3 linked regions of the Arabidopsis thaliana genome follow. The protein of the gene in region 1 interacts with the protein of each later gene in a pairwise test. Each region holds a gene or a part of one and is shown on either strand. Other genes may lie near its edges.

Region 1 (6,270 bases):
GATGACGGGAATAGGAGCCGTTTGATTGAGGTTAGGGATTTAAGTGCTTGTGATTGTTGAATTGTGGAAGAAAGGAGAGATTTTTCATGTTAATGAAACACTAGTACATATAGACGTTGTGAAGTTTGTTAGCCGTGATTCTATTGGATATTATTTCTGTACTAAGAGAGCATTAGCTAAAATTTCTGACAAGCTTAACTAATTCCAATTGTGTGAATCATTTGCATCATTGCTGATATTTCCTAACTAATATTATGAAAGGTTGAGGCTCGTAAGTTTTTTGCTTATGAACACATTTTTTCAAGGTAAGTTTCTCAATCTTCATGTTGTTGAAACATATGATTCCTAGAGTATCTCTACTCGTACCCCTCTCATAAATCATTGTGTTTAAAGCCGAGCATCTGCATGATATGTAAGGATCTCTTGCGGTTCTCTTCTTGAGTCTCCAAACTCCAGTTGAGATCCCTGGTGTTAGCAATATGGATTTTCTCGAGAATATAGTATTTGATGCTAGGAACAGAAAACCTGGTCAGCCAAAGATTGAGCCAATGTAGGTGTCTTCGCGCATTAGTCAGTTAGATGGTTTTGGACTGTTACTTAGTTGATGGTGCACACTCATATATCTGATATAGAATTGTGTTCATGCAGTTGGAGGATTTAGAGGTGGCGAAAAGAAGCATAAAGAGATTCTTCCATTTCCAAGCGCAACACATGATAAGAAAGGTGAGGGTTTTCTTACCTTATTTTCCGGTCAATGGAAGACACACACTTGAATACCGTCATTTCCCTTTCCCACACTTGTTCTCTATTAGTGTCATAAACAGAATGCCGAATAGGTTACTTTTCATTTTATAGTCATGACTAGGAAATTTTGTTCCTCATAGCAAGATATGGAAACAGTTGTCAATTTAATTTCGTCATAGTGAAAAGGATCAATCAAGGAACAAGTACGGAAAAGATTGAGAATCTCTGTAATAAGGATCATCTGTTTTTGGAGGTCCTTGGATGTTTACTTGATCAGGACGTGGCAGAGGCAATGAACAGACTTTTGTCACCAAAAAACGCTGTTGTGATGATTGATAATCTACTATCAGAACATACTGCACTACATCAAACCAAGTCTCATACACATCATAGTGAGCGTCTTTGCCACAAATCATATCTTCTTAAATACTGATTCAAACCACCATCTCTTGATAACAATAGTGAGCTTCGTTTTTGTTTTAGGCAAGCATTCTTTCCATATCAAATCAATAACAGAGTGTCCAGAGATTCATACCGTTCTATTGCAGTAGGGACATCTCATTGGCTTATCTACTGGAAAAAGGAAGGGTGCTTGAGTGTTCCGTTAGGACCAGCAAAAACAATGGAAAGTGGTGATCATGATGTTTAGAACACCAAACTCGCCGTCTCTACAATATTAGTTCTGGTCTAGGTTTTGATCTTCAATAATAGCTGTGGTCGGAAGGAGTAATTAGGGTAAAACATAAGGGCGAAGACAAGAATGTGTAGAGCATGTGATTTGTTCAAGCTTTAACATGTGGATGTCTTATTTTTAATGACTGCTCTTTAATATGTGGGTTTTGTTTGCGCATTTTTCACTTGCGGGTTATATTTTTCAAAAGTAGTAAATGATGGGACCATTATAAAAAGGATGTTATTAGGACTCCAGAAAGGAAATTGATTTTATGGAAAATCACCTTTTTACCTCAAAGTTTTAATATATTACTAATTAAGTACCCTTACATAAGAAGCTGCGTTGCCAAGATTGAAGAGGGTGGTGGACTTTGTAATCAAAGATTAATTAAAAAGAGAGTTAAGACAAATCTCAGCGGAAAACTCGGCGGTGATAGATAATCAAAACAAAAGAAACGCGTTTTTCAAACTGGTTCAATCTTCTTCTTCGTCTTTCTTCATCGTCTTCTTCTCTATACAGACCTTGACTCTCTCATTAAATTAACAAATGTCCCTACGGTTTATGCAAGTGTAGTGCTATTAAACTATCCCTTTTATTTTCCCACCCAACTCAATTTATTTTCTCATTCTTTCTCTTTACTCTTCTTCAGATCTCTCTGTTTCTTTCTTTGTTGTTGTTATCTGGGGATGCTTTCTACTCTCTGTTTGGTTTCCTTCATTGTGACTTTCTATTTTCTGGGTTTGTTTCAAGTCATGATTTTTCCGATACCCTTTTGATTTTTCTTGCTATTTCTCACCTCTGTATAAGCAAGCTCTCTGCTGTTTCTCCTCATCCAAGTTGGGTTTATCAGTTCAGCTGTGTAGAAATTCAATCGTCTGAGAAGTCCGAGGTTTGATGTCTGATGGTTTTAAGATCGAAAGGATTTGACTTTTATCAGATTAGTAATGAGATTAGATTGTTTTTGAGGTTATTGTAATCAGATCTTGATGCTATTTCTGGTGAAAGAGATTTAAGACAAGTTAGGGAATGGGTAATACTTGTGTTGGACCAAGCAGAAATGGCTTCTTGCAATCTGTTTCAGCTGCAATGTGGCGGCCAAGAGATGGAGATGATTCGGCTTCCATGAGTAATGGAGATATTGCAAGTGAAGCTGTTTCGGGAGAGCTTCGATCTCGATTATCTGATGAAGTCCAGAATAAACCTCCTGAACAGGTCACAATGCCGAAGCCAGGGACTGACGTCGAGACCAAGGACAGAGAGATTCGAACTGAAAGCAAGCCTGAAACGCTAGAGGAGATAAGCCTTGAGTCCAAACCAGAGACTAAGCAGGAGACCAAGTCAGAGACCAAGCCGGAGTCAAAACCTGATCCTCCAGCTAAACCTAAGAAGCCTAAACACATGAAGAGAGTGTCAAGTGCAGGGCTTAGGACTGAGTCAGTGTTGCAGAGGAAGACTGAAAACTTCAAGGAATTCTATTCCTTGGGAAGGAAACTCGGACAAGGGCAATTTGGGACGACTTTTTTATGTGTCGAGAAGACTACGGGGAAGGAGTTTGCCTGCAAGTCGATTGCTAAGAGGAAGCTATTGACTGATGAGGACGTTGAGGATGTGAGAAGAGAAATTCAGATAATGCATCACTTGGCTGGTCACCCTAATGTCATCTCCATCAAAGGAGCTTATGAGGATGTTGTGGCAGTGCACCTTGTAATGGAGTGTTGTGCAGGCGGCGAGCTTTTTGACAGGATCATTCAACGCGGTCACTACACAGAGAGGAAAGCGGCTGAGCTCACTAGAACCATTGTTGGGGTTGTAGAGGCTTGCCATTCTCTTGGTGTTATGCATCGAGACCTCAAGCCCGAGAATTTTCTGTTTGTCAGTAAACACGAAGATTCCCTCTTGAAGACGATTGATTTTGGACTCTCCATGTTCTTTAAACCAGGTTTGATTTCATTGTTACTCATCTTAAAAGATCCACTTCCAGATTTGGTCTTTAACGTGAATAGTGTGATCCTTGTCGAACAATTATTTCTGAACTCGATTCCCTTCCTCTTTGCAGACGATGTTTTTACAGATGTTGTTGGTAGCCCATATTATGTTGCCCCAGAAGTTCTTCGAAAGCGTTATGGCCCTGAAGCTGATGTCTGGAGTGCTGGAGTGATTGTGTACATTTTATTAAGCGGAGTTCCTCCATTCTGGGCTGGTAAGAATTGTATATATACAGATAAGAGATTTGTCACTTTTCCTAACTAGGCTCTGAACAACATCTCTAATCTTTTTGTTTCTTTGAACATTCAGAAACCGAACAAGGTATTTTCGAACAGGTCCTCCACGGTGATCTTGACTTTTCGTCCGATCCATGGCCAAGTATATCTGAAAGTGCAAAGGATTTAGTGAGGAAAATGCTTGTCAGGGATCCCAAGAAAAGGTTAACTGCCCACCAAGTATTATGTAAGTTATTTTGATCTGAAACCTTCTCTTCCAGTTAAAGCGCTGTGATTCTCTTTCTGTTAATTCCATTGAGCATAGATTTCACTACATGAATAAAGTGTGTTGTCATGTAGAGTGATCTACCATCGTTCTATCTCTTATGGAGTTGTGCTTCTTCTCAGGTCATCCATGGGTTCAAGTCGACGGTGTGGCTCCAGACAAGCCTTTGGATTCTGCTGTTCTGAGCCGTATGAAGCAGTTTTCTGCAATGAACAAGTTCAAGAAAATGGCTCTTAGAGTAAGCAGCTTTCCGATGCTAAACAAAATTTAAAACCATATAAAAGAAGTTCCTGTCATAAACATAAGATAGCTACATTTAACCCATCTTCCTCTTGTTATGTGGAAAGAAAGAGACGACGGAGATTAAGTTTCTCTCTTTATGCCTTTTTGCAGGTCATTGCTGAGAGCTTATCTGAAGAAGAAATCGCCGGCTTGAAAGAAATGTTTAATATGATAGATGCGGACAAGAGTGGTCAGATAACTTTCGAAGAACTGAAAGCAGGACTAAAACGAGTAGGGGCGAATCTCAAAGAGTCTGAAATTCTCGACTTGATGCAAGCTGTAAGTTTTAACCGGCATACCAGTTCCCTAACTAAGATTCTGAACTGATCTTGTTATCATTCAAACTTACTCTGTTGGTTGTGGTTATATACTTCTGTTTTTGCTAGATATGCAAGTAATCTGGTTTCTCTCTCATGTGTATATAATTCAGGCTGATGTGGACAACAGCGGAACAATAGATTACAAAGAGTTCATAGCTGCAACATTACATCTAAACAAAATAGAGAGAGAGGACCATTTGTTTGCAGCCTTTACATACTTTGACAAAGATGGGAGCGGCTATATCACCCCAGACGAGCTTCAACAAGCTTGTGAGGAGTTTGGTGTTGAGGATGTCCGCATAGAAGAACTGATGCGCGATGTTGATCAAGACAATGTAAGTTCCTTTACACCTTTTATCATCTCATCCTAATTATAAAATGACTTGAATACTTCTCAACAATGATCAAATTTCAATGGATTATATACATTTTACTCATAGGAATCTCACTTATATGATCCTCTTAAATCCTTGCATTATTAAAACTACACTTCACTTACCGAGTTTTCATGTCTGTTTTCTTGGGAAAACTGAGACGATTGAGTATGATTCTTGTTAAACCTAGGGGGATAGTAGAAACTCTCTTTCCTGAGAAACAGTGAAGTAAACCGAGTTTTCATGTCGGTTTTGGATTGATATATTGGTTGAATGTTGATAATGTTGAACATTTGAATTGTTGTATTGTAGGACGGGCGAATAGACTACAACGAGTTTGTGGCGATGATGCAGAAAGGAAGCATCACAGGAGGACCTGTGAAAATGGGTCTAGAGAAAAGCTTTAGCATTGCTCTTAAACTCTAGTTTCTCAGTCTATTTAAAAGTACAAAACTAAAGCCAAGAAGACAAAAGAGTTTTCTGATAATATATACCATTTTGATTATGTTGAAGACATATGCACACAGCCAAGATTCTCTCTTGCCCTCTTTTGGATTCTCTCAATCTTTTGGATGAGGTTTTGTCTTAGACTTGTTTTGGAAACTTTGTTGTATTGTGTTACTTCTTGAGCATATATAGTCTTCTAACATTACAAACCACGATTTCTTGTCTGTAAGTAAATTCAAAGAGTCAAAAAACTTGAACACGATTTGGAAATTTTGCGATAACGATCATCAAATTTTTGTGAGGGCTTTTTCTTGTAAAGCAAAAAGTTTGAGTATTTATGTGAAAATCGTTTAAAAGTTGAGGTACTTCTATGTAATTTCCCAGTTTTCTTTTTTTGAGAAATAAAATAACTTAACCGAATTTCAATTAATTTGTTGTCCGAATTATATAATTCAAGTCCTTACCGAATCTAAGCTGAAATCAAATTAAATTATAAGCAGATAATTAAATTGGTCACCGAAAATAATAGCCACCAAACCTCCTAATCCTAAACACGTAGTATTTTGAGATCTTTATTTTCCATTTACATAATTAATTTCTTTTTTATGATTGGAAAAAACGAATAAAATGATCTTTTAGCTAGTGTTTTTGGTCAACATAAATACCTAACTTACTCTTTAGAACAACAAAAAAAATGGAGGAAAAATATAAAAGTGGGTCTCACAATCAAGTTATTTCTCCAAAAATAAATAATTTAAAGCTTGCGTTTGTTGTTGACATTTAAAAATGTTTATTTTGGGGTACGACTTTTTAATTTATAAAATTATTAAATTGGTTTTATTTAAATAAACTGATTAAATTGTCTATTTCAAAACTGCGTCCCTATCCCTTTTAAATTTCCTAATTTCAGTCCACAAAACGTGATCATGATTACTGTATCATA
Region 2 (3,866 bases), on another chromosome or scaffold:
TAATTACTCAAATTCAAATTTGTTAAATTTTGTCTTCATATATATAGTTTAATGTTCAAATGTTGTTTGATATGAATTAATGTACGTTTTATCTATTTTTTGTTTTGTAAATTTAAGATTTTTATTTTTTAATTTATGTTTTAAATAACTTTTACATATAATAACATATTTATAATATTTTATACTATAAACGCTTTAACCGCCTAAAACTGTTTAGACCCGATGAAGCGTTGCATTGGGTTACCGCCCAATTAACGCCTAACGTTTTCTTGAACATTAATCTCTACCTTACTATGAGTGATGCTATCAATTAATCAGCTTTTGAGAGGTATTGACCTCGTTCATGTTAACTTTTGGTTGAGGTCTGCAAAACAATAACTGGTGAACGAGGTTGATACAAACTTTGGTAAGTCCCATTTGATTCAAACCTATATGCCCAACACTTGTTATTCCTACGCAAATCTCATCGAAATTCACGCAAATTTTGAGGTCAGTGTTTCCTGTAATAATCTGTATCAGTATTAGCAAGCGCTCATTCTCAAACAGCGTAAATTGTGTGTGCATAACCTAAGCAAACTCAGAAAACACAATTGCAAACGCAGTCACATGTATACAAAAACGCATAACCAGGTGAATGGCAAATCATTAATAAGAGAGAAAACTGAGTTTCAAGTACAAGGCATAAGCCGGGAAATGCAATCAATCAAGAGAAGAAGTAAAACAAAACAGAAATCCAGTAGCATCCACGATTGAGAAAAGCAAACAAAGGACAAGAATTAGACGGCCTTAGAAGCTTCGGGGATAGCAAAGGAAAGATTAGAAAATAAACACCAAGCAGAAACATAATTATAATTGCATAACTTAAGAATACTGAAAAAAGAAACCACAAACTTAGATCTCCTTCTGTTCTTCAGCAGGCTTTGGTGCTGCTGCTTCTTTAATCTCCTCCGGACTTTCGTCCTGATTAATCGTCGAAATTAACACAACAGAATCAGAGATCAAGACCAAGAAGCTCATGAGAGTATTATCATACATAATGCAAAACTAAACCATCTGATTCAAAGCTTATGAACAATGTGTGTGCACAATTCCAGCATCATGAGCCACTAAGCCTATCTATCATATCCATTATCAGCAATGAACTATGTTGGTGGACAATTCCAAAACTATTCTATCATAACCATTATCAGCAGTTTCGATGAAGCAAAGAACGGTTTCGTTTCGATCGTTTACCTGCATGTCAGAAGTCCAGAGAGTAAGATTGTCACGAAGAAGCTGCATGATCAAGGTACTATCCTTGTATGACTCCTCTCCAAGAGTATCTAACTCAGCAATGGCTTCATCAAACGCCTGTTATATCTCAATATCAATACACATAGAGTAGTACCAACACAATGACTCAAATCCCAAATAGATCAGAAACTTTCTCATCACCTGCTTAGCGAGATTACAAGCACGATCTGGAGAATTAAGAATCTCATAGTAAAACACAGAGAAATTCAAAGCCAAACCAAGACGAATCGGATGCGTTGGAGCCAATTCAGCATTAGCAATATCCTACAAACAAACAAAAGAAACACAGATTCACACAAATCATGATTTAACCTAGAAATGAGATCCAACAAAATTCCAGATCGGAGAATAAACCTGAGCAGCTTTGTAAGCGGTGAGAGTATGTTCAGCAGCATCTTTCCTCTCTTGACCAGTCTTAAACTCAGCCAAATACCTATGATAATCTCCCTTCATCTTAAGGTAAAAAACCTTAGAATCTCCATTAGCAGAAGCAGGAACAAGTCTAGTATCAAGAAGCTTAAGAATACCGTCACAGATTTTCGATAACTCAGATTCGATCTTGCTTCTGTAATCACGGATCGTGGTCACATGGTCATCGTTACCACGACTCTCTTCTTTTTGTTCAATGGAAGAGATGATTCTCCAGGAAGCACGACGAGCGCCGATTACGTTTTTGTAAGCGACGGAGAGGAGATTACGTTCTTCGACGGTGAGTTCGTCTTTGTCAACGGCTTCAGCGACTTTTTCCATGAATTCAACCATTTCTTCGTAACGTTCCGCTTGCTCTGCGAGCTTTGCGAGGTACACGAACTCTTCCCTCGCCGAGGATGATGCTGGTGGTGCCGCCATTAGAGATCGGTGATGGATGGATTCAGATCTGAGAGAGATTGAGAGAGATTTTTTTTTTTGTTCTGTTTTCGAATTTCAATTTTTTTTTTGTTGGGGTTTAAAAGATAGTTTTGTTTTTTTTGGTTTTTGTTTGAGTGGGGAGCGACGATTGCGAAAGGAGATGGAAGGAGGACCGTTGGATTAAATTTTGTACACGGGAATTTTCTGATACTTTTTGGGTCGGTTTTTAGGTCATCTCCAACAGCAGTTTTTTAATGAGTATCTGGAGATTAAAAAAATAAAAAGTAATGAAAAAGGTGGAGAAAGAAAGAGAAACGTTTCTCATATGAGAAACTATGAGAAACCCAACTCAACCCCTTGTTATTTATGATTGGTCAGATTTTGTCTTTATAATATAAAATTTAAATAAATAATATATTTATTATTAACTGATTAAAAAAATAGAATTGAGAAACTCATACTGTATCTGTGCGTTGGAGATGCCCTTAGTTTATTTTTATGTGGAAAAAGTTACTTTGTTGTATTTTGATTCCTTAATGGACCTTTTACGTCCATATTGGCATTTTGTAATTTCTGTTGATTGAGCAATTTTTTTTTTAAGTTGAATTTTGAAATTGTTTTGTTAAAAAAGAAAGAAATTGTTAGGTTATTAATTATTATATATTGTATAAAAAATATCTTTAGAACGTTTTATTTTAAAATTAGTGCCAATTTATTTTATGCAATTTATTTTATTTTTCAAAAAAAAAAACTAAATATATATAGACTGTTTAACCTATTAATTTAAAAGAAGTTTTACTTAATGATGTAATAAATAAAATTTTCACAAGACTTATTCTAATGGAAGAAACTTCAAACAATTCTTTTAAAGAGATATGTTCTTAGGAAATAAAAAAATTAGTTGATCAATGATATTTAGTTTAGTATTTGATTTGTTGGAATTAGATTGTACATATAAACTTATTATTACAGATTTTTTTTGTTAAAGTTATGTTAGCTTAATTGTACAAAAATATCACAAGCAGATGCTTGATAACAAGAAGAGAGAGCACATGCCTACATTGGCTCCTCCAAGCAGATGCTTGATAACAACAATAATGTGGACAGTTTGGATGACGAATGAAGTGGATGAGAATGAGTTTGATAACAAAGATCAAGATGAAGTTGTTCATGAAGAGAAGAAAAGTGGGCAGAAAGAAGAACTTCCTTCCAATATTTCCGATCCAGTAAATTGGGATGACATGAATATGAGATTCAGAGATTTATTAGTTGAAAAGGGTCTAGCGACAAGGTTATCAACTAATTACCGGTTTCGTAAAGATAGTATTGGTAGGCATTTTTCTCAAACATTTTACATAAGAGAAATGAGGAATGGGGAGAAACAAGATAGAAGATGGTTGATTTACTCAAAAGCATTAGATTAAAGTCTTTTGTTTTTGTTGTAAGTTGTTGAGACATGACAAAAAAGGTGGTTACTTGGCAACTAGCGGGTACAATGATTGGAGAAATCTTTCAAAGCGACTCAAAGAACACAAAGGCAGCCATGATCACATTACTTGTATGACTCGTCGAGCTGAGTTAGAGTCTAGACTACAGAAAAATAAAACGATTGATAAGCATGCCCAAGAAGCAATAAACAAAGATAATATTCATTGGAGGGAAGTACTCCTAAGGATCATTGCATTGGTGAAAACTCACGCTAAAAATAATTTAGCATTTCGTGG
Region 3 (4,083 bases), about 25 Mb from region 1:
ACGTAGAGATCAAGTCACAAGCTAGTACTCTGTTCGTTAGATTCTATCTCTCTGCAGGACACAACAGAAAGATCGAAGTAAACACGAGAGAGCTCTCTTCGAAATCAGACCAACTCATGTGGGATCAATCTTTTGGTCTGGAGTGTCAAGGGGACGAAGCAGCTGTCAAAGAATTGAAGCAACAGAGAGTCGTTTTTGAACTACGGAGGAAGAAAATATCGACGTTTCTTAGGAAATCATCTAAATCTGAGGTTGTTGGGAGAGGAGAGGTTTCTTGGGAATCGGTTTTCGAGTCGCCAGGCATGGAGATTGAGAGACTTGTGGTGATGGGTGAATCCAAAAATTGGGTTTTGGAAGATGAAAGACCTTTGTTGTTGAAGATAGCTTTAAAGGTCCAAGCTTTAGAAGAAATGGAGAAGATGCTGATCAAGAATGACAAGAAAACAGAGAAGCTTTGTTGTGTGTGTAGTAGTAGAGATTGCGGAAGCTGTAGTTGCTTAGATTATGAGGCTTTTGCTTTAGTTTGTGCTTTAGATTGTATTTAAAAGAAAGAAAAACAGATTTTGATTCAAATTTAACAAACTCAAACGATCATTGATAAATAGTTGCAGAACCAGTTTCACAACTCTTTTATTTAAAACAAACCATGCAGTAAGAGAAAGGAGGAACTCGAAAGTTGAAACAGTTTCAAGCATCGCCATGTCCGAGAAGAGCAACAAGCATGTCCTCATAGTCACCAGAAGTGTCTTTGGCGATAGCACGGTCCAAAGGAATGCTGTTTCTTCGCTGATATTCCTCTTTGATGCGTTCCATGTCAACTTCAGTTCGTGTAGTCACGACTCGGGTTAGTCCCCATTCGTCTGTTCCCATTTTGTTGATTGATAGACGAAGAACCTTCTCAAAATGCTTCTCAGGGTATGTCAAACATGTGATTACAGCTCTTAGTAGTTTCATGTAGTCATTGTCGTCCGACTCTTCCTTCAAGTTCTGCAAAAATTTCACTTCATATAATAAGCTTTCCGAACAAGATTTTGTAACATCAAATGAAAAAGCAGTTGGTGGTTAAGCTAACCTTGTTAATGGCGTTTCCATACTCGTTGTTGTAGTGGTTGAGTGTTGCACCGAGCTGTGCTTTGCTTCTTGTTGTCAAGATTCTGATGAAGTCATCGTCACTGTAAGATTTCTCTGAGACCTTCTCGTGAAGTATCTTAGCTTCAGATCTTGCAAGCATCATGTTCACATCATCTCCTTCATACCTGAAAGTGCTCACAAGAGGAAGCAAGAGCTATACAAAAGAGGACACACAAATATGTCAGAAACATGTGTCCCAAATACAAAACAAACAAGCAAGATTTGGTTTATTGAATGATTACCTTACGAAGGTCACCAGATGTGTGTTGCGCGACATCTTCCTCGATTGATTTCTTGTATCGAGCTTGGTAAGCTTGCTTGACCTTGATAAGCTCAAGAGCAGGCCTTGTGCAAGCGATTTCAACAAGAACCCAATTGTTCTTGGTGAACATCTTGGTGGATTCTTTAGCCAAATAAGCATCTCTCTCTGGTGGATCAAGAGTCCACAACATCACAGCTCTCTGTTACAAAAAAACACCAAATACAACAGTTTCACAATCCTAAATCAGTCACTATATCATTTCAGAGACCCCCAAAAGAAAGAAAGAAAGAAAAGAGTTAAAAATACCTCAAAGTCGCTAGAAAGCTCTTTGTCTAATGCTTTGAGAAGATCCTCATTGTAGGTAGCTGCATAAACGCTGCGGATCAAGCTGCGTTGTGCTGCGTTCCTGTGAGCTAGTATTGATATGATCAGCTTCTCGTTGGTACCCCATCCTGTTTCAGACCAAACCCAAAAAACAAACATTTTGTCATGTCACAAATCTCCCAAGGAGAACACAAAACAAGCATAATCTTGGTTCACTAAAGAACAAAAAGAAACATATTTTCATTATAATCAATCAATTAGGACATCATCGGACTGTATCTAATATAAGAAGACATGATCCTGATCTTGTGGTGGGACACAGAACACAGATCAGGTCAAACAAGAGTAAATCCCGAATCACCAATGTAGTTGTGATTAAATCAACAAACTAAATAATACTCAACGATGAGTATAGGAGAGTACTTAAGATATCAAAAATGATTAATCTTGTGATTAACGAAACCGATTACAGATTAGAGATCGTATAAGAAGAAACTAAATCCCGATCAAGTGATGAAAAAAAAAGAGAGAGACCTGAAAAAGCCTTGTGGAGTTGCTCGGCGTCATCTTCGGGAAGAGGAACATTGCTTGGGACTTTGAGAGACGCCATTGTTGGGATTAGTCTTTAACTCTTAAGATCTCTGCCTCTGTTTGTGTTTCTTCTGCTTTGTAATGAGACGAAGCAGACGCACGTCGTCCTACTTAAGTAATGTAACGGGAATCCCAAAAATTTATTTAAGTTATTGTTGTAAGGTAAAGCATTTAATAAAGATAATATAAAATAATTGAATATGGACATATTCTTCTAATCAATATTTTGATATCTCTTTGATTTTTTCCACTTTTAACAGCTGATTTAATTGAAAAGAGGAAATATATATATATATATATATATATATTTCTTTTTTTTCCCCTTTTATGCTAAAATGAATAAAATATTTTAATTGGGTTTAATGTTAAATGAATCAAAGCTGAAAAAGTTTATAAAGTAATCCTAGCAAAGTAGCAATTATGCAAAGTATTTTTTTTTTTTCAAAACCAGGCTGTAATAAAGTTTGTAAATAATTCAAAAGAGATATTATACCAAATATCAAATTAAATTGTTTTTAAAACTAATAAGTGCAATTTGAAACTAATAAACAAGAAACTGCGAAAACCAACTGTGTCAAAATAAATAAATATGACTCAACATAAATTATTGACTAGTAGTACATTTTTAATAAAACGTGGGTTTGGGACTGTAACTTATATGATTCAGAATGTGAACGGGCTCATTTGACTATGTTTCTCAATAATATGTCCAAACAATTTATTTATTTTCGTGTGTTTGCAAAAATTCTAAAGGGAAAGCGATGATGATAATGAGTTCACACTTTTACTTAATGATGTTGAAAACTAAACTTAAAAATCATGATATTGGAACAGCTATACCTAGACCTAGAGAAACCGGTGATCGATATAAAACAATTATACATAAGAAAACGAGATTTTCATTTCTTAATTTCTTATGTTTGTTAATACGAAAACGACAGAGAGGATTCACGACTTCACGTGGTTGGCTCTTTAGCTAAATCTGAAGGGGAGCAGTTACTTCGTCTACTCAAATTTCATAAAATATAATTTGAAGGAAAAAAAAGTCCATACACGAGTAATGAGGTTAGGTCATCTGTCTTTTTGAAATAATAAATACGAATCTGAAAACTTTTATCCCACGTTCATTAAAAAACTTTTATAAGCAATGCGCGTAAGAAAAATAAAAATAGTAGATGAAGAGCGACTCCGCTGGGGATCGAACCCAGAATCTCTGGTTTCGTAGACCAGCGCCTTATCCATTGGGCCACGGAGTCTTACTTGCTTGACTTATGTGTGTACTAGATATATTGTACATATTATAACAAATCCTGCGTTGAGTAACAACAAACAAGCCAGAACATGCACAAAAACACATTGCAGAAAGGCCAGGCTTTGAAATCAAACAAGTTCGGATTCATCAAATTTAACGTCTAAGAAACTGAAGTATCATCTAGGGTCCAAGACTTGTCTAACACAAAAGAACGACAAAAAATGCAGAAACTTAGGTACAAATGTAGACAACGTGTATCACTTGCACTAACTGGAGATCCATGGAATCTCCAGCTAGAAATGGACGAAGCTTTTATTCATTGATCCCTCTAGAAGATAACGATCTCTCTGTGTAGAAGAATAAAACATTTGCTTATATCCTCAATGCCTGTAGTGTTGTTCTCTTATGTTCCATTCTTAGGAAGAGGATCTACTAAATCCGATCCAGCCTTAGCAGCAGCAGCTGCTTTATCCTCTTCATAAGCTGCAACATGAACTCCAAGAGCCGCACGGCCTGACGGATC

What was found. Proteins that work in one complex are often made in the same cells at the same time.
Region 2: the proteins of CPK1 (region 1) and GF14 PHI interact in a protein complementation assay, tested with the Arabidopsis thaliana proteins (one large-scale study listed by BioGRID).
Region 3: the proteins of CPK1 (region 1) and ANNAT2 interact in a protein complementation assay, tested with the Arabidopsis thaliana proteins (one large-scale study listed by BioGRID).

Annotation. Positions count from the first base shown.
Region 1 is NC_003076.8:1,416,051-1,422,320, reverse strand, and holds CPK1 (calcium dependent protein kinase 1), read left to right. Parts: upstream 1-1,766; 5' UTR 1,767-2,443; coding exon 2,444-3,356; intron 3,357-3,473; coding exon 3,474-3,617; intron 3,618-3,712; coding exon 3,713-3,865; intron 3,866-4,026; coding exon 4,027-4,142; intron 4,143-4,297; coding exon 4,298-4,465; intron 4,466-4,616; coding exon 4,617-4,841; intron 4,842-5,192; coding exon 5,193-5,306; 3' UTR 5,307-5,757; downstream 5,758-6,270. UniProt on the Arabidopsis thaliana protein: May play a role in signal transduction pathways that involve calcium as a second messenger. Phosphorylates the Ca(2+)-ATPase ACA2 resulting in the inhibition of its calcium activation.
Region 2 is NC_003070.9:12,865,540-12,869,405, reverse strand, and holds GF14 PHI (GF14 protein phi chain), read right to left. Parts: upstream 2,281-3,866; 5' UTR 2,143-2,280; coding exon 1,648-2,142; intron 1,558-1,647; coding exon 1,435-1,557; intron 1,351-1,434; coding exon 1,234-1,350; intron 1,045-1,233; coding exon 892-1,044; 3' UTR 516-891; downstream 1-515. Other genes in the region: AT1G35150 (General transcription factor 2-related zinc finger protein), read left to right, coding at 3,168-3,433, 3,597-3,866. UniProt on the Arabidopsis thaliana protein: Is associated with a DNA binding complex that binds to the G box, a well-characterized cis-acting DNA regulatory element found in plant genes.
Region 3 is NC_003076.8:25,972,159-25,976,241, reverse strand, and holds ANNAT2 (annexin 2), read right to left. Parts: upstream 2,439-4,083; 5' UTR 2,328-2,438; coding exon 2,252-2,327; exon of another isoform or gene 1,877-2,251; coding exon of another isoform or gene 1,846-1,876; coding exon 1,700-1,845; intron 1,593-1,699; coding exon 1,374-1,592; intron 1,286-1,373; coding exon 1,073-1,285; intron 988-1,072; coding exon 688-987; 3' UTR 546-687; downstream 1-545. Other genes in the region: AT5G65030 (nitric oxide synthase-interacting protein), read left to right, coding at 1-545; ASN2 (asparagine synthetase 2), read right to left, coding at 3,964-4,083. UniProt on the Arabidopsis thaliana protein: May mediate regulated, targeted secretion of Golgi-derived vesicles during seedling development.